Cricetulus griseus: one gene and its partner. The protein of the gene in region 1 interacts with the protein of each later gene in a pairwise test. Links are inferred from orthologs where the notes say so. Each region holds a gene or a part of one and is shown in the gene's direction. Other genes may lie near its edges.

Evidence for each region.
Region 2: the proteins of early endosome antigen 1 (region 1) and Rab5b interact in binary tests that used the Homo sapiens proteins (3 or more experiments, as listed by UniProt). The link is inferred for Cricetulus griseus from reciprocal best matches to the Homo sapiens genes EEA1 and RAB5B.

Annotation. Positions count from the first base shown.
Region 1 is NW_023276806.1:161,949,535-161,960,594, forward strand, and holds part of early endosome antigen 1, read left to right. Parts: intron 1-498; coding exon 499-702; intron 703-3,019; coding exon 3,020-3,220; intron 3,221-4,858; coding exon 4,859-4,972; intron 4,973-5,897; coding exon 5,898-6,053; intron 6,054-7,970; coding exon 7,971-8,110; intron 8,111-10,101; coding exon 10,102-10,432; intron 10,433-10,591; coding exon 10,592-10,693; intron 10,694-11,060. UniProt on the Homo sapiens protein: Binds phospholipid vesicles containing phosphatidylinositol 3-phosphate and participates in endosomal trafficking.
Region 2 is NW_023276806.1:129,205,326-129,216,847, forward strand, and holds the start of Rab5b (ras-related protein Rab-5B), read left to right. Parts: upstream 1-3,995; 5' UTR 3,996-4,138; intron 4,139-4,851; exon of another isoform or gene 4,852-4,912; intron 4,913-11,522. Other genes in the region: Cdk2 (cyclin-dependent kinase 2), read left to right, coding at 95-238, 548-751, 990-1,094. UniProt on the Homo sapiens protein: The small GTPases Rab are key regulators of intracellular membrane trafficking, from the formation of transport vesicles to their fusion with membranes.

The DNA of each region.
Region 1 (11,060 bases):
TGTTCTAATGGGAAGCGGAAAGAGGTAAATAAACATGAGAGAAATAAGTAAGCTATAATGTGTTAGAGGTAATGGGCAGGGCGGCTGGATCTAGAACGTGACAATTGAGCAAACATTGAAGAGGGGGGAGGGGATCATTTGGCTGTTGGGGAAGCATTGAAGACAGCAGGATCATTAGTGCAAAGACTCTGAGGTAGGAGTGCCCTTGGTGCAGTCACTGAGTAAGTCCCACTGTCTGAAAAGGATCAGAGCATAGGCAGTAAGGTCAGAGTATTATGAAAATTGTGTTATAAATGTTTTTGTTAAATTCTTGCTTGTAAATAATGTGGACTTATGTTATTAAAAAGGTGGTTTTTATTAATTTGCCACAATAAAGTATAATAATTTTTAAGATGTAGGACTAACATTTTGGATGATTAAAATTATTATCAGTCATTTCATGTTTGAGGAATAACTTTTTAAATCTTCCATCCTTAAAATAGTTTTAATTCTTTACAGAATGATTTGGAACAAGTGTTACGTCAGATTGGTGACAAGGATCAGAAGATTCAGAACCTTGAAGCTTTACTGCAGAAGAGTAAAGAAAATATTTCCTTACTAGAAAGGGAAAGAGAGGACCTCTATGCAAAAATCCAAGCTGGTGAAGGAGAGACTGCTGTTCTTAACCAGTTGCAAGAGAAAAACCATGCACTACAACAGCAAGTACGTTTGTAAATGGTTATTATAGTTCTAAACTTTACTGAAATCCCTGTTAATTGTATTAAATGTTTTATAAAAACAATTCATGGCCCTGGTTTTTCTTGTTTTAAAAAGTTATTTTTTATATCATCATATTTATCATCAAGGTAGGTTACTGTGTGTTGAAGGCCAGTACAATATTTAGACATCCCAGGAGGTAATTTACTACCTGTGTGATGTGGTGATACATTGTTTATGATCTAATAAAGCTTGTCCTAAGATCAGAATGCAAAGCTAGGTACAGCCATAGAGGCCAGGCAGTGGGGGCATACACCTTTAATCCCAGCAGCCACACTAGTTAGCCATAGAGGCTGGGCAGTGGTGGTGTATACCTTTAATCCCAACACTAGAGAGGTATATAAGACAGGAGCTCGGTGTCTCATGCGGCTTTCAGTCTCCAGCCACTCTGAGGATTCCTGGAGACAGGATATCCCTTTCAGAGGTAAGAGCTAGTGGCTGGCTGTTTTGCTATTCTGATCTTCAGCTTGAAGCCCAATATCTGTCTCTGGGTTTTTATTATTTATGCTATATAGTAACCACAGATAAATCACTTCACCTAAGTCCCTGGAAAAGTAGACATGTGACTGATGGTATATACTTTGTCTCCTGGCCTTTGTGATATTTTAAAAAAAGAAATGAGTAACAAATTAGTAAGTTAAATGTGGTAATCAAGTATTAGCTATTACTGAGTATTGCATAATATTTCAAACTCAACAGTTATTTATATTTTGATAATGTATTTGAATTGATGAGTGTAGGTTAGGAGCTTCATAGAGGTTAAGGCAGCTTAATTTGCAAGGCTAAGTGTGAGGTCAGAATTAGCTTTGCAGAGAAAAGCACCACAAATCTCACTAGGGGCCTGCTGGGGCTTTGGTTGAATTCTAAGTTTTGTACTTAGGCAGTGAACTGGAGCTCACAAAAGATGTTCAAGCCCAACCAGTCAGAGATGAAGGCCACCAGACATACCACACCTTACATGAGAAGTAAACATAGAGTAAAAGCTCCTATAGGCCGCTTCTAACAGAAAGGAAAGCTAAACCCTGATAGGGCCCAAGTGAGCCACAAATGCAGCCACCTACTGCTGGAACAAAACACAGCATTCGTTGAAAGAAGACAGCACAATTCAGATTAGTCACAATAAATGACTAAAGGTTACTGGATATGTGAAGCAGCAGAAGAGTGTGAACCATCGACAGTAAAAAGTCATCCAGTGGAGACCTTGAGACTCCTTCCATAGCTCTTTAGTCCACTTCCACTCCTGACAGCGCTTCTCTCCTAGTAAGCTGTCTGTTCATGAGTGACTTGAAAGGCATGGTTTCCCTGTTATCTTCTGGTGGTTGCTGGGATTTTCACCTAATTTATATTATACTTTTCTCTTAAATTCTAATAAAATCAGCCTTGCACTTAAAAACAAAACAAAACAAAACAAAAAAACTTGGTGGAAACAGATCCTGAAATGAAAGATGATGGACTCACCAGATGAATACTTTAAAATACCCCCTAGTGCCTATGGATGTAAAGGACAAACCATAACAATGGCACACGAAGTGGCAATGATACAAAACACCCATAGAGAACTGCTAAAGATAGAAAAATTACTTGAATTGAAAATTGACAGAAAAGAATTAGTGAACATAAAACAAAATGGTTGAAAAATTCCAAATAAAGCTGAAGAGGGCCTCCCTGGGCAGTCTTGTAGGTTAGAAAAGAATAATGAGCTCCAGCCGGGAAGACCTACTAGAATATAAAGCCAGACTTAAAGAACTCAACTCTCATGTATGTGAAAAATATCAGATGAATTAGATTTCATCTAAATTTAAAAAATACATGCTTTTGAAAAGATAACATTGCAAAAGTAAAATAAAAACAAAAACGTATAATTTGTCTGAAAACTTGAAGATACCTGCAGTATACAAAGAATTCTTTGTTAATCAGATTAGTATTTTTGCATAATGAACATATTCTTTACCTTGATTGTGTTAATAATTTAATAAGAGCACACCTTTATCAAGTCTCAGGTTTTATACTTAAATTAGATGAATTTTATTGTGTATAAATTTTACTTGAATAGAGATGTTTTAAAAATAATATATCTGAAATTGATGTTCTTAGGATTTGGGATATTAGATTGACTTGTTAATAAAGATATGGATATTTTTACTGGAAAAAGCTTGAAATTACCTATTATAGAACAGTTCAGTATTCTGATGCGTAAATTTGAGTTTCTTCATTTTTTCTGTGGTTTGCAAACTTTGTAATTAGACTCTTTCATGTGTAATAGCTGATTCAACTAATGGAGAAGCTGAAGAATCAGTCTGAAAGCCATAAACAAGCAGAGGAGAATTTGCATGACCAGGTACAGGAACAGAAGGCACATCTTCGAGCTGCACAAGACCGTGTTCTTTCCCTAGAAACCAGCATCAATGAACTAAGCAGTCAGTTAAATGAAAGCAAGGAGAAGGTCTCTCAGCTTGACGTACAGGTAATGCATTGTTTAATTTGTGTGTGTGCATAGAACATCAATTGTAGACCATACGTGGTATACATTCTTTTCTCTTTACCTGTCAGTGGAAAATGAGTATACAAATTAAATTATATAGTTTCTTGAGGTTTCCTGTGTCCAGAGGTATTTTTGTTCCTTCTCCCTATGCAAAGGTGATTTCTGTAATGTAACTTTTGATTCCCACTTCCAAGGTACTTCCCAGTAGGATGGTCAGCACAGTGTGAAGGTAAATTAGCACATTCAGTGTCCCAGTCTGCTCTTAGTGCCTTACTGTTGTAAGGGCTTTAATGCATGAGCTGCAGCAGTGCAGGTTGCAGCAGTGGCAGGGTCTCTGATCTCCATGCATTTAAAGGGACTGGAGATGGGCTGGGTTTTTTGTTTGTTTTGCCATTAGACCCCTCTGAGATAGAGTGGTGGTATTAATCAGTTCCCTCAGGTCTTCACATATTACATGACTTTAGAAAATCTGTCACATCTATTTTGAAACATTTCATGAATTTTAAGTTCTTCACAAAGATGAACTGCTATATGTAAATGAAGCTGATTTACAGAAAAATAAGTTCTTCACACTCTGGAACTTGTTTGCCAGTGAATGTTTACTTCCTGTTCTTGAAGTGTAGATTTCTTTAGTTTTCACTTTGAACTCAAGATAGAGATATACCTGATCAAACATCATTTCTGTGAAGAGTAACAATTGAGTTACTGAGAAATAATTATTTGGAGAAGATTTTCCTTTCTGCTTGAAATTATGGTTATTGTGTATATTTTAAATTTTTTATGTTCACTCATCCTCTCTTGACTTAGTTAAATGAGTATCATTTTAACTCTTCTAAAATATGTTAATTTCAAATGTATTTATATTTTTTCTACTTTTTGCTTTTCTTAATAGAGGTGAATTGTGCTAAAGTTATTTCACTACTTATAAATGTCACTTTTGATAAAGAAGGCACAACTTTCAGCTCATTTGACTGTTTCAAAACTTATTGAGGAAAGCCTGAGGTTTTAAATGTGTGATTTCTTGGCTTTCAATGAGAATCAAAAATGAAACTCTTTATATGAGAAGTTACCTGGAAAGAGTGAATTTTAAACATACTTCTGGTTTGTTTTATTGTTTGGGCTCCATACTGAAGTCCTTGATCTTAAGAGCCATCATTTTCTATGGCATAGTTGAGTTTATTGTGGTACTGGTAAAATTTGACATTTCTTTCTGGTCTCCCCAGGAAAGTAAAGTATACAGTTTATTTGCCTTTTTAAGATACGGTCTAAGCACGTAGCATGGACTGGAACTCACAGTCCTTTTGCCTTTGCCTCTTACCTGTTGGGTTCTCAGACCTGTATCCCCAGTCCTGGAACCATTTTTTTTTTTCCACAAAGGGGCACACCAGCATGTGTTGGTATCACAGAGGAACAGCTCTTATTGTTATCTAACCATTATCCTCTCCCTTACCTACTTCTATTTGGGAGATTTTCACATATGTATTTTTCAGTGTCTCAGCTATTACTTTTCTACTATAGAACCTAATTTTTTAATAGTTTTGTGACAAAACTAATGTGTCTTAAGGAAGGGAAAGACAACAGTTAAATATGGAGTTCAGTAATTTGTAAATTGTGTTTCAGATTAAAGCCAAAACTGAATTGTTACTATCAGCAGAAGCAGCAAAAACTGCTCAAAGAGCTGATCTTCAAAATCATTTGGACACAGCTCAAAACGCACTACAAGATAAACAGCAGGTAGGGGATCTGGTACTGTCACAGTATAGCATCCTGTTTTGTAGTTAAATTAATTACTAATTTGTTAAAATGGTGACTGGCTTTCTATAATCTTGTGATAGGCTTTCAAACCCTCTTTTTCAGACTTTTTAGAACCAATTGAGTGGATACTACAGGAGCCAGAGAGATCTTTTATTTTTTTATTTTTTATTTTTTTTAGATAACTAGTGTTCAGGTGTGGATGGGTTTCCTAATATTGTATTGGGTATCCTAGGTAGCCTAGGCCATAGTAAGAGATGAAATATTACTTTCAAGTGTGGGATTGTTGCCTTTTCACATAAGGAACCACTGGTTGGGGAAGTGAGGTAGACCGACAGCCTTCTTTTTTTTTGGTTTTTCGAGACAGGGTTTATCTATGTAGTTTTGACCCCTGTCCTGGAACTCACTCTGTAGACCAGGTTGGCCTCCAGCCTCCAACTCTTCTTCCCGAGTGCTGGGATTTTTTTTTTTTTTTTTTTTTTTTTTTTTTTGGTTTTTCAAGACAGGGTTTCTCTGTGTAGCTTTGGAGCCTATCCTGGCACTCGCTCTGCAGACCAGGCTGGCCTCGAACTCACAGAGATCCGCCTGCCTCTGCCTCCCGAGTGTTGGGATTAAAGGCGTGCACCACCAACGCCCTGCGATGGCAGGCTTCTTAATAGAAGCTTCTGCTTTAGGGTCACTGTCAAAGTGCTGGTAGCCTTCCTCCCCTTTGTTAGGGAGGACTTTTAGAATATACTTACTAAAATAATACTGACGCTCTAGGCCCATTTCCTATATTTACCCTTTACTCTAATTCAATCTTTCTCCTTAGGTAGGAATGTCTTATTATATAAAATTGGAGTTTTCAGTTTCACTGTGACTGAATATTGGGGTGCTACAACTTTTCTTCAAATGTGTTTTCCTGCAGGAGTTAAATAAGGTCACTGTGCAGCTGGACCAGGTCACCGCAAAGTTACAGGAGAAGCAGGAACACTGCAGTCAGCTGGAGAGCCATCTAAAAGAGTACAGGGAGAAGAACCTCTCTTTAGAACAGAAAGCTGAAGCATTAGAAGGCCAAATTAGGGTTTGTATAAGACAGTTGAATTTGTTGTATTTCCTACTCAGCAACTATGGAATCTGATGACCTTCCCAGAGTCAAAGACTTAAGTGACAAAGAAAGGTGAAGTGGTATAAAACTTCAACAGTTACTTTATCAGTTACTCTTGAATTCCATCTTTATTTTCCATTCCTTCATTGATGGGTGACTTTGATAAATAGCAATTAACATAGTGCCAGTTTTATTGTAAAGTGTAAACTATTTTCAGGAGACACCAAACATTATAATTCTGATGGTCTAAAATCTCTTCTCCCCTTTGATTTTCCATTTCCCTATGTCTTATTCCAATACAATATCATGTATGGTGACATTTTTTTTCTTTTTAAAACTTTATACGCCCTTTGGATTTTGCTCCTAATTTAGTAATGCATTTAAACCATTATAAGCTGAACCTTACCTTAAGATAATTCTAAGTGAGGTGTTGATTTACTAAAAAGATGAGATAATTAGACTTATCAGAGGAAAATTTGACTTTAGAATTATCAGCACTTAACGAAAATATCCTTAGGTTTCCTGTTACCTGCACTTCCATAATCAGTTGAAGCATGATGTATGATTACAGGATTATGAGGTGACTGTTTTACATGGACAATATAACATGAGAGAATGACTGCAGCTCTACAGCTCTGTTTTTGGTTTTCTTTTTAATGCTAACAGTAGTCATAATGCTAAATTAGATATGGTTGCAAAGACTAGGTAGGCAAAAACGGGTTACAGAAAAGTGAGCAGAGAGAACTCTTATTTGGGAACCTTTCTAAAATAGTTGTAATTATAACAAGAATTTCTGGGGCACTGTCACATGACACATGATTTTAGATAACACCTTATACTGCACATTTCAAAAGGCTAGAAAAATGATTTTTGAAAGTTTTCAGCATCGAGAAAAGGAAAATGAAGAGATATGTGTAACTCGGTTTAAGCATGACATTATTAGGTACCCCACTGGCACGTATAATGTCTATGTTTTGTGTTTCATTTAAGAAAATAGTTAAATGGGGGCTGGGGAAATGGTTGAGTCAGTGAAGTCCTGCCATGTAACCTGAGCTTGGAGACATGGCATCTGTGTAACATGCCAGGCATGGCAGAAAGGGCCTGTGAAGCTTATGCTGGGACTTACTGCTTGGCCAGCCTAGCTGCATCTGAAAGCTTCTAGTTTAATGATAGACGCTGTCTCAGAAAGTAGGATGGAGAGTTAAAAAGCCACCTAGTTTTGACATGTGTCTTCCACATGCACACACTCCCCAAAGGTACACACATGAACATACACACGTAAATACATACCAAAAGATAATAGAAAGCATGTTTCCTCCATTTAAACCTATGTGTAGTACTTTGATTTTATAAATTTGAAAAATCCAACTCATAATATTATGCATAATATGAGTCTGATGCGCTACAAAAAGCAGTGACAAAATCTAAACTAAGACACTAAGCAAAGTCAAGAATTTTAGGTGCTGTATGTTTAAGGTCAGTGGATGTCAGTTCAAGGACTACACCACAAATTTGTTCATTTGTACGTTAAGCATCTTGCTATTCATAGTTGTTAACTGCATATGCACAGGTAATATATTTTAAGTGGGTACAGAAATGACCAGTTACTTAGTTTTTTTTTCAAACTCGAATTACTAAACTTTTGCTTTTAGAATAAATATTTATGTATAAGTTGATTCTCATAATTAATTTTGAAAATAACTGCTGACTTATATAAAGTACCTAGTCTAGATTCTCTGACAGATTCTAAGCAGAACAACTTCCTCATTTGGTAGTGGTGTCAGAAAGGGTTTCTGTAAATGTAGTTATTTTGTCAATAACAATTTGAATGTTATAATTTAGTAATAGTTTAGATATTGTCAAATTCAAGTGGATGCTGTACTTTACCCACAGAAACTAGAAGCTGATGCTCTAGAAGTTAAAGTAAGCAAGGAGCAGGCTTTGCAGAGTCTACAGAAGCAGAGGCAGCTGAACATAGACCTCGAGCTTAGAACCACAGAACTGAGTAAACAGCTTGAAGAGGAGAAGGAAATGTAAGCTGACTGTCCACTTTATACCCTGTGGTTCTCTGTGTGTGCACCGTTCTTAGAGACTCCACAGTGTGGCTCTCTCTGTGTGTGTGTGTGTGTGTGTGTGTGTGTGTGTGTGTGTGTGTGTGTGCTGCTTTATATACTACTCATGTTAATGTCAATGAAAAATAACACTATTGTTACTTAAAATTAATATCATTTTCCATCATTCACTTAGTTCAATAAAATTTGGTTTAGTCACTTTTCAGCAGTAATATGGTAGCTGTTTCTCTTGAGCATTCATTTCCAGCTGTTCACCAGTTTGAAATAGTTAACATAAAAATTTTTAAATACTGGAATGTGTATATGTGTCACTTAAGAACAGTCATGTTTCTGATCTGTGATACTATACTAAATACAGAAAGTGTTTTACTCATTAGGAATTTGTCTTTTCAACTTTGTCGTGAATTTTTAACTTTGATATTATTGAGTACTTAATTTGCTTTCTCTTGCTGTGATGAAACACTAAAGAATTTGGAGAGGAAAAGGTTTATTACATCTTACGGGTTAGAGTACATCATCAAAGGAAGCCAGGACTAGAGATGAAGGCAGGAACCTGGAGGCAAGAACTGAAGCAGGAGCCATGGAAGGGAGCTGCTTACTGGCTTGCTCATCCTATTTTCTCACACTCAGGACCACCCACCCAGGGCTAACACTGCCCACAGTGGGCTAAGCCTTCACGCATCAGTCAAAGAAGTGCACCATAGGCAGACCTACCCACTAGTCTCTGTGTAGCTTTGGAGACGATCCTGGCACTCGCTCTGGAGAGTTGACAGTCAGTTGACAGTCAGTCCATCGATCAGTCAATCAGGCAATCAATAAGCCACATACATTGAGTGAAGGAAAACTCCAGAATTAGTGTACATTCTTCAAGTTGGATTTTCACTTCCTCATTGATGTAGCTTATTCATAAAAGTCTGCATTGCCTGGTGTTGGTGGCGCACGCCTTTAATCCCAGCACTCGGGAGGCAGAGGCAGGCGGATCTCTGTGAGTTCGAGGCCAGCCTGGTCTGCAGAGCAAGTGCCAGGATAGGCTCCAAAGCTACACAGAGAAACTCTGTCTCGAAAAACCAAAAAAAAAAAAAAAAAAAAAAAAAAAAAAAAAAAAAAAAAAAAAAAAAATCTGCATTAAAGGATCAATGATAGTGAATCACTTTTTTTTTAAAGATTTTATTTATTTATTTATTTATTTATTATGTAAACAGTTATCTGCATGCATGCTTGCACACCAGAAGAAGGCACCAGATCTCATTATAGATGGTTGTGAGCCACCATATGGTTGCTGGGAATTGAACTCAGGTCCTCTGGAAGAGCAGACAGTGCCCTTAACCTCTGAGCCATCTCTCCAGCCCATGAATCACTTTTTAATCTAATGTATTTGAAGTTAGATAAACCATTTGTCTTTATTTTTTGAAGAAAAATTATTCCTTTAAAAATATCTTACTATATTATGTTAAATGATTTGAGATTCAGATTCTTCAACATAAAATATTTTATATCTTTAAGAGAAGACACATAGTTTCATGTGTGCCTAGGGAATAACACACTGACTAGGTTCTTTAGGGGCCTGGAAAACCTTTGCTAGTTGTAGACTGTCTAGGATTTATTATCTGAATTTCTCAGATGACAGAATGTGGTGGATAGGACTGGATTAAGTTAGAAAGTGAAAATAACTTGGCCCTTGCTAAGGAAATCATGTTCATCTGATGAGATATTTTAAGGCAATTTTAAGGCAATATTAAAATTTTGTTAGTGATAAGTAGAACACAAATAACAATTTTAAAATAAATATATAAACCATTATATTTTAGAGAATTAAGCATTTCCTTGATTTCCCAGTTCTTTAAATTATTTCTTCTGGGATATATAAAAAATTCAAGACTTGGTAATCACATATAAATATTTTTGAATGGTAAATTTTCCATTAATTTTAAAAATTCTTTTTTAATATCTAGAGTGTCAAGTACAAAATTGGATCTGCAGAATAAATCTGAAGCCCTTGAAAATATTACACAAGCTCTTACCAAGAAAGAGGAAGAAAAAATTATCTTGAAGCAAGAATTTGAAAAGTTAAGTCAAGATGCAGAGAGGCAGCACAAGGAGCTGAATGACAGAATCCAAGTGACAGCCACAGACCTGAAAACAGTAGAGGCGCAGAAAGAAGCTCTAATGACGGAGCTTTCAACAACAAAAGAAAAATTGTCACAAGTTTCTGATTCTCTAAAGAACTCCAAAAGAGAATTTGAGAAAGAGAATCAAAAAGGAAAAGCTGCTATATTAGATTTGGTTAGTTGTTTACATTTACTTAGGTAGAAGTCATTCCCTTATTAAAATGCCCAACTGGTATGTGTTGGGGGGGTTGTTTATTTCCTTCTACTTCTTTCTAAACTGATGAACCACTTATAAGTTACTACAGACATTTTCTGTGTAATGTTCCTTTATTAGGAAAAAGTTTGTAAAGAACTAAAGCATCAGCTCCAAGTACAGACAGAAAGTACGCTCAAAGAGCAGAATGAACTGAAGAAGTCACTTGAAAAAGAGAAAGAGGTATGGGTTTCTTTTCCATAAATATGTGAAGTATAACAGGCCTTTGTATTTTCTAGTTGTTTTCATCCTGATATGGAATCAAGGGAATGTTTTATTTCTCTAAAACATAATAGCTGATATATTTAAACTCATTTAAAATGTAAAGGCCAAGTAAAGGAAGAAAAGGAGAAAATAGAATCAACTAACCATGAAAACTTTAATTAGATAGGGTTAAAAAATGTTATAGTTGATAAAATAATAGCTTCTTAAACATGACTTATTTCATAGATGGCCCTAATTTTCTTTTTTATTGCTGTGAACAAACACTGAGCAAACACAGAGTTGGGAAAGATTCATTTGGCTTACATATCCCCATCAGAGCAATCCT
Region 2 (11,522 bases), about 33 Mb from region 1:
AGATATAGATATACATATAGAATGTGAATTTATCCACCAGTACCTTACAATTGCCCATATTCCTCTCTCAATTCATCAAAAAATATTTGTTAAGCACCTAGTGTGTACCCAGCACCATGCTAAGTGCTGTGGGGAACACAGAAGAAATGGAAGACACAGTCTCTGCCCGCTGTGCTCCTATCTAGAAGTGGCTGCGTCACAAGGAGGGGGGATGACCGCAGTGTCTACCCCATACCCCGTGAGTGGCTTGGGATCCCTTTGCTACATGTCAGTGGCACCCCAGACATTCACCCCCTCCCAGCCCCACCCAGCCTTGGGGATCGACAAAGCCATGGTTGGGGGAAGGAAGGAGGAGGGGGCGAGGAGGCAGATGAAGGGACTTCATTGTCTCAAGTTCTGTATGACCGACCCCATGAAAAGCCCCGGGGAGGGGAGTCATGGGGCCCTGCTGACCTTCCACTGCCTGTGGGAACCTCCTCCGAACAAGGGGCAGTGTGGACTGACGTCAATGTGGGGCTTGGCCTTTCCTCTTGTTCCCCATTTTCAGGTGACCCGGCGGGCCCTGTTTCCCGGAGATTCTGAGATCGACCAACTCTTCCGGATCTTCCGGACTCTGGGGACCCCTGATGAGGTGGTTTGGCCGGGAGTCACTTCTATGCCTGATTATAAGCCGAGTTTCCCGAAGTGGGCTCGGCAAGATTTTAGCAAAGTTGTGCCTCCACTGGATGAAGATGGGCGGAGCTTGTTATCGGTAAGAGCCGGGAGGGGGTGCCCACATAAGCGCCTCTCCCATTCCCCAGAGAAGAGAAGCAGATCCCCTCAACTCCGTTAGAATTACCCTAGTCCTCCATTCCTCCGCTCATCGGTAGGCTGGTTCAGCATTGGGAGAAGGGAAGAAGTGAGGTCTGGGTCCCAGGTTTCCGAGCACACCTGCTCTGCATTGGGTCCACTGTTACATCACTGAAGTCAGAATATATTTCTCCCTCCAGCAAATGCTGCACTATGACCCCAACAAGCGGATTTCAGCCAAAGCAGCCCTGGCCCACCCTTTCTTCCAGGATGTGACTAAGCCAGTACCCCACCTTCGGCTGTGATGTCCTTCCCAAAGCCTTCCTCACCCTTGGTCTGACTTGACTCTGGGCCTTTTGGACACAGGTCAGCCTTCTACTCTTTTCTGGCTGTCTTAGCACTCACTTTTTCTCTTGGCCAGCCAGTTCCCGGGACTCAGAGGTGCAGGGAAAGATGAGGTGACAGGAAAAAGTTTTGGTATCAGATGCACTTAACCCAGCTTCCACTACCTTCTCTCCCTCTTAGTCATCACTGAGGGTTGGTATGCAAAACAAAACAAAACTGACCATTCTCTACCCACCCCCATGTCAAGTTTGGCCATCCCAGTCTTATAAATTATTGTGTCCCATGTTTAGGAAGACACACCCCAGACCTCCTGGTGCCACTGTTTTATAAAGGCCAACTGATAAGTTGGGACATTTAGGAACCAAGCCACAGAGGTCTATTTTAATGAATTAGATGAAAAAAAAAAAATAGATCCAAACAGTTTATACCTTAGTTGTAGTGTCTGGCCTCGCCCGACAATCAAGGAGGCCCAGCTGGAGAAGCAGAAGAAATGTTCCCTTTCAGCACTCTGTCTACCTTCTGCAGGGCAAGAAGTCAGGAGGGGGATAGGGATTGGTCTGTTCACCATAATTCACAAGGCAAGGTGAAAGACACTGGAATCTTTCTTTTAGTAATTTTGTTTTCTGGTGCTAACAACTGAACACAGGACCTCGCCCTCACTAAGCAAATGCACCACCCGTATGCCAGATTTTCTAGCCCCTCTTTTTGGCGTTTTAGCTCTTCAGTTTGTCAGAGGTCCCTGTTGCCATCTTCTTCCTCTGAGAGTCACCCCTGACTCCATAGTGGAAGTGAAGCTTTAGATGTCACTTTGAAAGGCTTTGACCTGGTCAGGTCATCGGGGGACATTTTCTATAAAAGAGTTAACAATTATATTTATATTTCAAGTTATAGTAGTTTGGATATTTTAGTGTTTTGATTTTTGTTTTTTTGGGGGGCGGGGCAGTGTGGATGGATTTGTTGCCATGTGCACTTTGGAATTTTGTAATGCAATTGTTGAAAGAAAATATTTCTTTTATGATCTTCTCCCTCTACCCCTTGTCCTCCAGTGTTCTGTTAATATTATTTGTAATTTAGTTTGTAATTCATTAAAAGAAATTATTCTCAGTTGTATAGTGGATCTCTTTCATATTTTATCATTTATATATTTTCTGAAAGAACTGAGCGGGTCACAACCTGAATGTGAATAAGTGATTTCAGAGCCCTTTTCCTAATGTTTGTAAATGCAGGACATCCTCCCATGCCTTTGCACTTGGGATGGTTGTGAGTGTGAGCAAATTGGGTATTGTCTTAGGGAAACTGAAGCTTCTTTCCTACCTTTTCCTATCGACCAGCTAAACCTCTCCTATTCCTGCTCACACGTGCACATGAATAGAGTGCTGTTTCAGTTTTTCTGTTATCAGCAACTTGACTGAGTGGGCTTCAGCACCCCATTTCCCAGTAGGCTTTTACCATTTGTGTAGGTTTTTTTGTTTCTTTGTTTTGGTCTTGAAATTATGTATACATGTGTGGGTCTGTGAACATGAGTGTCAAGTGCCTGCAGAGGCCGGAAGAGGGCACTGGATCTCCTACAGCTAGTTACAGGCAGTTGTAAGCCCTGTGGTGTGGGTACTGGGAACCGACATTGGGTTTTCTGCCAAGAGTGGTACTTGCTCTGAACTGCTGAGCCATCTCTCTAGCCTAGCCTGCCAGAGAGAGACCCTCGTTTCAATCCTCAGTACTACCAAAAAAAAAAAAAAATCCTTAGCATAGTTGTCTAAATATTTTCACATTTACACACAATTCAGAAAATACCAATTACATGACAATTTAGGAGGTCTAAAATGTCTTCAGACTACCGCTCTTTGTTGACCATAAAAAAATAGGCAGTCCACCCAAAAACCCCTGTTCTCTAATGCTCCTCTAAAAAGAACTTCTGAGAGAAAGTTCCCAGATAGGATGTCTTCAATTTGACACGGAAGGCGGGGCACTAGGGTAAGCAGAAGAAGACAAGGTTAATACCAGTCTCTCTCTCTCTCTTTTCTTTTTTCCACGAGACAGGGTTTCTCTGTATTGTTTTGGAGCCTATCCTGGAACTAGCTCTTGTAGACCAGGCTGGCCTCGAACTCACAGAGATCCCCCTGCCTCTGCCTCGGAGTGCTGGGATTAAAGGCGTGCCCCACCACCGCCCGGCTCAGTCTCTTGTTTTTTTGTTTTTTGTTTTTGTTTTTCTTAGTAGTGTCTCACGATGTGATGTGCTGTGTAGACCAGGCTGGTCTGGAACTCATGGAGATTGCTAGGATTAAAGGCGTGGGCCTCCAAACCCAGGGTTTGGGTTTTTTTTTTCCCCTCCTCTTAAATTGAGACCTTGTCTCAAGGAGCCCAGGCTAGCCTTGAACTTGCTAGGTGAAGGGAGGATGACCTAGAACGCCTAATCCTGCCGCCACCTCCCAGTGCTCGATTAGGCGGGGATGCAAGCCACACCACACCCGGCCTTTACAGGGCAGCTTTCGCGCTCGCCTTGCCTGCCACTCAAGTTCGGAAGTGTCCTAGCACTGGTTAAGGTTTCCTTTTGTCCCGCCTGCTTCACTCACCTGATTAGATGTTTACGAGTCAAAAGGCGGGGGAGGAGTGTCACGGGTGTCGAGGTTTCATTGGCTGACGCAGATGCCCGTCAGTACTGCACCGCCCTCTTTCCCAGGATATCTCTCTCTAATGGTTGCTCACCCCGTCAATCTTCAAGGCTTCTCGTTTAGGTATTGGCTCGCGGCCCCGCCAGTCAAGTCTCTCCCTGTACTGGTTGGTGACAGTCCCCCAAAGCCCGCCTTTCTCCAGAAGATTGGCGGGTGAACGCACATATAGCCCACCTTCCACAGTAGGCGGGTGATCCTGCGATTGGCTGGAGCCCTCGCCCTGGCGAGGAGGAGGAGGAGGAGGAGGAGGAGAAGGGGGCAGGAGGTTTGGTTGAGCACCAGCTGTTTGTCTGTTCCACACAGGCTTGGGCCCGACGGGGGAGACGGAGCCCCAGGTACCGAGCTGATGGAGCCCGCAAGGGCAGAGGCGGAGGTCCAGAGAGGAGCGCAGCCCGGCCTGCGGCCGAGGCGGCTCGGGCCTAAGCCAGGGCTAGCTAGCCCCCCGGAGCGGGCAGAGGGGCCGCCCCGGCAGGCCTAGTGGGGGCGCTGAGGAGGTGATCGGCAGGGCTGGGAGCCGAGCCTCCCAGTCTGGGAGGCGGCTGGGTTCTGGCTGCGGCCGCTCAGGGGCCGGGCGCGGGGACCCGGAGCCGGTGTGGACCAGGGCCGGCCTTGGTCCTCCGAGCACCGCGGCGAGGAGGGAGGAGCTGGGGTCGGGGACCAGGCAGCGACGGAGGGAGGGGAAGCCCGTTTGGCTAGGAGGTGTGGAGGGGTCAGCGCTACGCCCAGCCCCGAGGGTGGTAGCCGAGGCTGGGTCTCTAGAGACAGACGTCCGGTGTCGGGGGTGCGGAGCCGGCCGAGCGAGAGGCATTCTTTTCAGCGCAAGTGGCTGTTGGAAGGGGGACTGGGGGTGCTCTGGTGTTGTCGATAAAGAGGGATTTGGTCTCGGTGAAGCAAGAGTCTCAGTAAATGAAGAAGAATGCATTGCTGAGCTAGAACATCAAAGTAGACGGAAGTAGAAGCAGGGCCTGGTATCAGTTATGGGAACTTCTGGAATGATGGTGAGGAGAGGCTCTGTATCTTGCAGTTCCTTACTCTTTTGTTCCCTTAGCCTTTTAGATGTGGTGGTTTCAAGTTTTGGGGGCACTTGAGAAGTAGGAATGAAGACAAAGGTAAAAATCATGTTTTCCGTGGCTCCAGGTTCAGCCCCCGCCCCCCCCCCAACTTTTAATTTGCCTGGCCTCAAAGCTAGTCTTGACTGCAGTCTGCTTTCTTTTTGCTTGTTTGTGCCCCCCCCCCCCCGTTGTCTGAACTGTGAAAGAACTAAGAATTTGGGGTTTGCTTTGCCAGTCTTACCCACTTCATAATGTGGTCAATCTGTGGTGACCCAACTTTTACCTAGAATTGGGGACTCTGTCATCTGCACGGAAAGGGGTTTAGGGTTCCTCAGCCACTAAAACATGGGCCATGTTTGTTGAAACTTCTTTGAAGTTTCTGTGAAATGCTTGGGCATTTCCTAGACAGTTAATGGAGGTCTCCAGGCCTGGAACTGTGAGGTGATATTTCTAAAGGGATTTGGGGAAGTTGGCAGGTCCCTTTTTCCTTTGTCCACTTCTCTAGAAAACACTTTTGTGTGACTAGCTAGTTAGGTCAAACTCCAAGGAATTTAGGAAAAGAAGGATTATAGAGAATGAAGATGCCTTTAAAACTTATTGTGTGTGGGTGCCTGTGTCTGTCTGTGTGTGTGTGAGCCACAGTGCAGAGTGTGGAGGTCAGAGACAGCTTGTGGGTGTTCAGTTCTCAGGTTTGGCAGCCTAGAAGACAGATTATTAATGACAAATGAGAGACCTGTCAGTTTTCCATATATCATTGAGCCCTATTGGTTTCTCTTAGGATCCTACCTCTCCTTTTCTTTCTATACTAATACTATTTATCACTGTTATATATATATATATATATATATATATATATATATATATATTTATAATTTTATGTGTATGTATGTGTGACAGAGTGTATGTATGTGCCTCATATGTGTGCAGGAGCCCTCAGAGGTCAGAAAAGATATTGGGTCCCCTGGCAATGAGTTACAGACAATTGTGAGCTGCCATGTGTGTTGGTAACCGAGAACACAGGTCTTCTGCAAAGTGCCCTTAACTGCTGAGCCATCTCTAGCCTGTATCACTACATTTCTTAATTACCAAAGTAACATATACATATTTTTAAATGTTTAAGGTATACAGAGATACATAAAAGCTGAGTCTTTCCACGCTAGCTTATTTCATTTAGGACAGTTAGAGATATTAAATAAAAGTAATCTTTCTGTTGAGGGATGTGCCATGAAAGACAGAGTTTTTGTTTTGTTTTGTTTTCATGTTCTCACTGAATTCTATTTTCTTGTTCTTTGCACAGAGAATACTCTTAGATGATACTCTGTTATTTATTGTGTTTCTTTTACAGTTCATCTTGTCTCCTATCAAATTCAGAACAAGCATAGAGTTGTCCTCTGAATTATCATTTGCCTTCTTCAATACACACTCACACAGTTGTGCACTGGGTAGCCTAAAAACTGCCCAAATACATGAACAAAACTTTTTTATGTGCAGGAAAGAAACATTAAGGGAAATCATCTTGTTTGGGACAGTTATTGGCTTCTCTCCTAGAGTGAAGAATCTGAAACCCTCAAGTTTTCCCAGTATTTGACTGTTTCTTCCTTATCTCAGAGAGAGTGATGGTTCTAGAAGAGGGTCTTGTACCTGGCTTGGTATATAGTAACCCAAGAAGTTTCCCTATTTCTCTGAATTTTAAATTGGGTTTCCTCCAAATTTAGAAGTATCAGAGACTCGTTTGACTTTTTTGACTCTTTGAAGCCCTCTAGTATGCTAAATTGTACAGTGTCCAGCAAAAACCTCAGATCAACACTGCCCCTCAACTTCCTACCTTACCCTTAAAAACTCCTTTAAGAAAGGATTTAGAAGTTGGGCGTGGCACTTGACTGATTCCAGCATTCTGGAGGTTCAAGTCCAGGCTAAGCTACACAGCAGGCACTGTCAATAATTCCCAAAAGATTTTTTTTTTTTTCTTAAGATCTGGGTTCTAGGATTATAGCCTAGTGGTAGAGTATATGATGAGCATTTACCAGATTCTGGGTATAAAGAGATTGAGAATAAAGGTTGTATCTGGAGTCACTCAAATTTAAAATGTAAATAATTCACAGTGACTTAATTATTTCCAAAGGTTTCTACATATTTAGGGAGCTGAAGAGTGGACTTAGCAATGTAGAATCTCAAACATAGACCTGGAGTTAGAACAGTATGTCTGGAGAAGAAGGCTCTTTCTTGTTGTCCTTAAAATCATGTCCTGTCTCTTCTCTTAACCTTGCTTTAGCACAGGAATTACTTCTTTGTGGTTGGCTTGTCTATGTGTGTTAATAAATTTGACATCTGAGAAGGAGGCATAGATGGGGTAGGAGAAGCAGCAGGCGCCTGCTTCCTAACCCAAAAGTATTTCCGGTGGGAAGGGGGTCAGTGGTACAGCCTGCCTAGCATGTGGGAGGCCAAATGTGACTGGAGTGTGAAACAGCAAACTTAAAGTAAGGAAGTGCAATGGCCGTCTGGGAGGAAGGATGCCCTAAAGCCACACATAACATACTCCAACTTCCCAAGAATATTTCTGGAAAGATTTACAAACAGTAACTGAATTGAAAAGGAGCCGGGCATTGGTGGCACAAGCCATTAATCCCAGTACTCGGGAGGCAGAGGCAGGTGGATCTCTGAGTTCGAGACCAGCCTGGTCTACAAGAGCTAGTTCCAGGACAGCCTCCAAAGCCACAGAAAAACCCTGTCTCGAAAAAACCAAAAGAAATGAAAAATAAAACAACGAAAAAGGAGTCAACCAGATGAGAAAAGTAGATTTCTGGGCTAGAATTATGTAGCTTTGGTTTAAGGGTTGTGGGTACCTCCCTGTATGGTGGTATGACTTTGGTTTTTAAAGAAATACAATTTTGGCCCAGTAGTGGTGGCACACTCCTTTAGTCCCAGCACTAGGGAGGCAGAGCCAGTCGGATCTCTGTGAGTTCAAGGCCAGCCTGGTCTACAGAGCTAGTTCCAGGACAGCCAGGACTACGCAGAGAAACCCTGTCTTGAAAAATCAGAAAATGAAAGAAAAAAAAAGAAATACAATTTTGATCTTTTTAAAAATATGTGTGAATACATTATATACATATTTATAATGGTATATGCTATATATTACTATTTATACACATATAAGACTGTGTATACAGTAAAGAATTAGTACAGTAAAATACAGCATATTAACCAAGCTCTCTACCACTGAGCTATATTTCCAGCTCTTGTTTTACTTTTTATTTAAAAACTCTTAACTTATTTGTTTTGTTATTTGTTGTCTTTTGAGACAGGGTTCTCTGTGGCTTTGGAGGCTGTCCTGGAACTAGCTCTTATAGACCAGGCTGGTCTCGAACTCACAGAGATCCACCTGCCTCTGCCTCCTGAGTGCTGGGATTAAAGGCGCCACCAACACCCGGCCACTTTTTTAACTTTTAACTACGTTGCTCATATTGGTTTTAAATTTACTGCCTAGGCAGGCCTAACTTTTTTTTTAGAAATTCATTTATTTTTAATTTATGTATATGGGTATTTGCCTACATGAATATTGTATATATGTGTACTACAAGCCTACCTGGTACCTCTGGAGGTCAAAATAGGGTGTCAGATCCCTTATAAGTGGACATTTGTCAGAACCCAGGTCCTCTGCAAGAGGCACTGTTGCTCTTAATTGCTCAGCCATCTCTCTGGCCCCTCAGTCTTGGTCTTAATTACATTTTCTCTGGGACTCTTGAGCAATGATGAATTTTGCTGTAGTAAGATAATTATTAGTTTCACAGGTGACATTTATACTCAATCCTGTAAATTTGGGTTTTGTTAGGCAGACAGATTAAGGCATGGCATGCTAATCTTTCCCAGGTCAATAATAGGGAGTTAGTACTACCATGCTGATAATCGATAAGCATGCTTTTTGCCTACAAAGGGGAAGGTAGAGGAGGTAGAATTCTTAAGTCAGTGACTCACTGGATAATATTGAACCAACACAGTTAAAGCATTGTGCTAAGGAGTGTAAATCTCAGTTCAAGATTTTGGTGATTTGGGTCTAAACCAAGTGGGAAAAGAAATGAAGGTATCTGTTGGCTTCTGTCCTATCTTCCTTTAGAATACCTCACACCGGCCCCAAAGCTCATCAGATCCTACAGATTGCCATAGTTTCCCTTCTGCCATGCTATCCAGGCAGGCAGGAATTGGTCAAGATCTGACAGAGAAGAACAGTGGTCCTCCTGTGGGAACAATCTAAGACTAGGTCCTATGGGAAACCTTCTTTCCTAACTGTTTTCAGTTCTAAACCCAGTACTTCCTGAAACTGAATGGAGGCACTCATATTTGTATTTTGGTACCCTTTCCAAAGTTAAGCATTTCCTGATTCCTTGAGAAGTACAGTGGAGGGTCTGAGGAGATAGCTCAGTGGGAAGCAAGCTTTTGAAGACTTGATTCAGAGCCCCCAAACCCATGTTTAAAAACAAAACAAAAACCTGGCACACACTTGTAATAATCCCAGCACTGGAGAGCTATAGAGATGGAGATAGGCAGATTCCTGAGGCTCACTGGCCATCCATCCAACCTAGCCTAATTGGTAAGCCAGTGAGAGACCCTGTTTAAAAAAGCCAGATGGACAGTGCTGGAGAAACATCTCAGATTATCCTCTGGTCAACGTAAACATGCTTGCCTGCAGGTACAGTAGAGCCTGGTGTGGGGGTGACTTTAATCCCAGTGATTGTGAGGCAGAGGCAGGCAGTGTGAAGCCAGTCTGGTCTACAAAGTTACTTCCATGCCAGGCAAAGCTTGGTAGAAAGGCCCTGTCTTCAACAACAACAGAAAGTTTAGTAGCGCTGGGTGTAGTAGGTTGCATCTATAATCCCAGCATCTAGGCAGCTGAAACTGGAGTATCACCACAAGTGTAAGACTGTCTTTTCTCCAAAACTATTTAAAACAAAACACAGTGGAGGGATGCTAAGTGGGGGTGGGGGGTAACATGTCTGCAGTCCCAGCACATAGAAGGCAAAAGCAGATGGATTTTTTTGTTGTTATTTTGTTCTTTGAGACAGGGTTTTTCTGTGTAGCCCTGGCTGTCCTGGAACTCACTCTATAGACTGGACTGGCTTTGAACTCAGAGTTCTGCCTGTCTCTTTCTCTTGAGTGTTAGGATTAAAGGTGTGCACCACCACTGCCCAGCTAACAGGTGGATTTTGAGTTGAAGACCAGCCAGCCTAGGATACATAGACACAGCCAAACATTGTCTTTAAAAAAAAAAAAAAAGGAAGGAAAAATTAGAATAGTATAAAGGGGCAGAAATACTGTTTAACTGTCTATGCTTATTTATGTAGACCCAGTTTCTCTCTTGGAACTGGATTTGTAGATCAAGCTGGCCTCAAACTCACAGAGATCCACCTGCTCCTGACTCCTGACTCCTAGGATTTAAGGCGTGAGCCACCACCACTCCCCAGCTTAGCTGGCTATACTTAATGCCTGACAGACTGACTAATTTTATGAGCCTCAGTTTCCTTATTTGTAGAGATGGACTATCTGACATATGGATTGGCTCTTACCTGGGTGACTGGCCTCACAGGACTGACACTTCAGACTGAGCAGAGTGTGGTGGCCACGTACTGGGACCTCTGTTTGCTTATAGTTGATAGACCTTTAGAGGTTTTACATAGACTTAGGGTAATTACACTGAGTTAAAGCAAGTCTAAGGGGCCTGGCCTGAGGAATGCAGTCTTGCTCTAGTTGGGACTGGCCAACTAAGAAACCTTTTCTGTTGGATGTACTTTGCTGTGGTGCTTGGAGAACCCTGTCCTGTTGCTACCCAGTGGCTGACTGTGGACAGGCCTCAGTCTTCCCATGTTAAGGGATGTTTATATGCTGCTCCTGTCTATGGAGCTGCCCTTTCTTTTTGGTCTTTCAATGTAACCCTGGCTGGGCTAGAACTCAGTAGGCCAGGTTGGCTGTCAGTTTTTAGTTATTTTTTTCAGACAAGGTCTCGATCTGTAGACCAGGCTGGCCTGGAACTCACAGAGTCCCCCTGTCTCTGAGTGGCCGAGGGAATTAAAGGTGGGTACCACCACACCCTGCCTGACTTTAAATTTATGGTGATCTTCTTGCTTTTGCCCCCTGAGTGTGGGATTACAGATAGGCACCATTATACTCAGCTGTTTTGTTTTGTTTTAGACAGACTCTTTACTCATTATGTAGCCCAAGTTGGCCTTGAACTTGAAACATCCTCCTGTCACAGTGCCAGTGGGCCCTGCTCAGCTACACTTCTCTTCTGCACTGTGAGTGAAAGAGGAATGGCCCCTCCTTCTGGCCTCTGGTTTGAAGGTGATAAAGATAATAACACCTGCTGCTGTACTTTGGTTTACTTTTTGCTTGTAAGACCTTGAGGTCCGAGCAGGTAGCATATAATATAATACCCTTGACCGAAGAATAGCTCTCTCTCCGGGACACCTGTTGTTTAGGAGGGACTCACCTTTAACTTCGAAGGAAGGTGACACCCACCTAGCCAGCCACAGCCAAGTCTACCCTGAAGGTTGATGGATGACCACTTACAGCCAGATTACTGTTATTTTTCTTTTTCTTTGCCTTTAAATGGATCATTTCCCCATTGTCAACTCTTAGCTCCCCTCCCCCCCAAAAAAAAATCACTTGGGAATGGTGG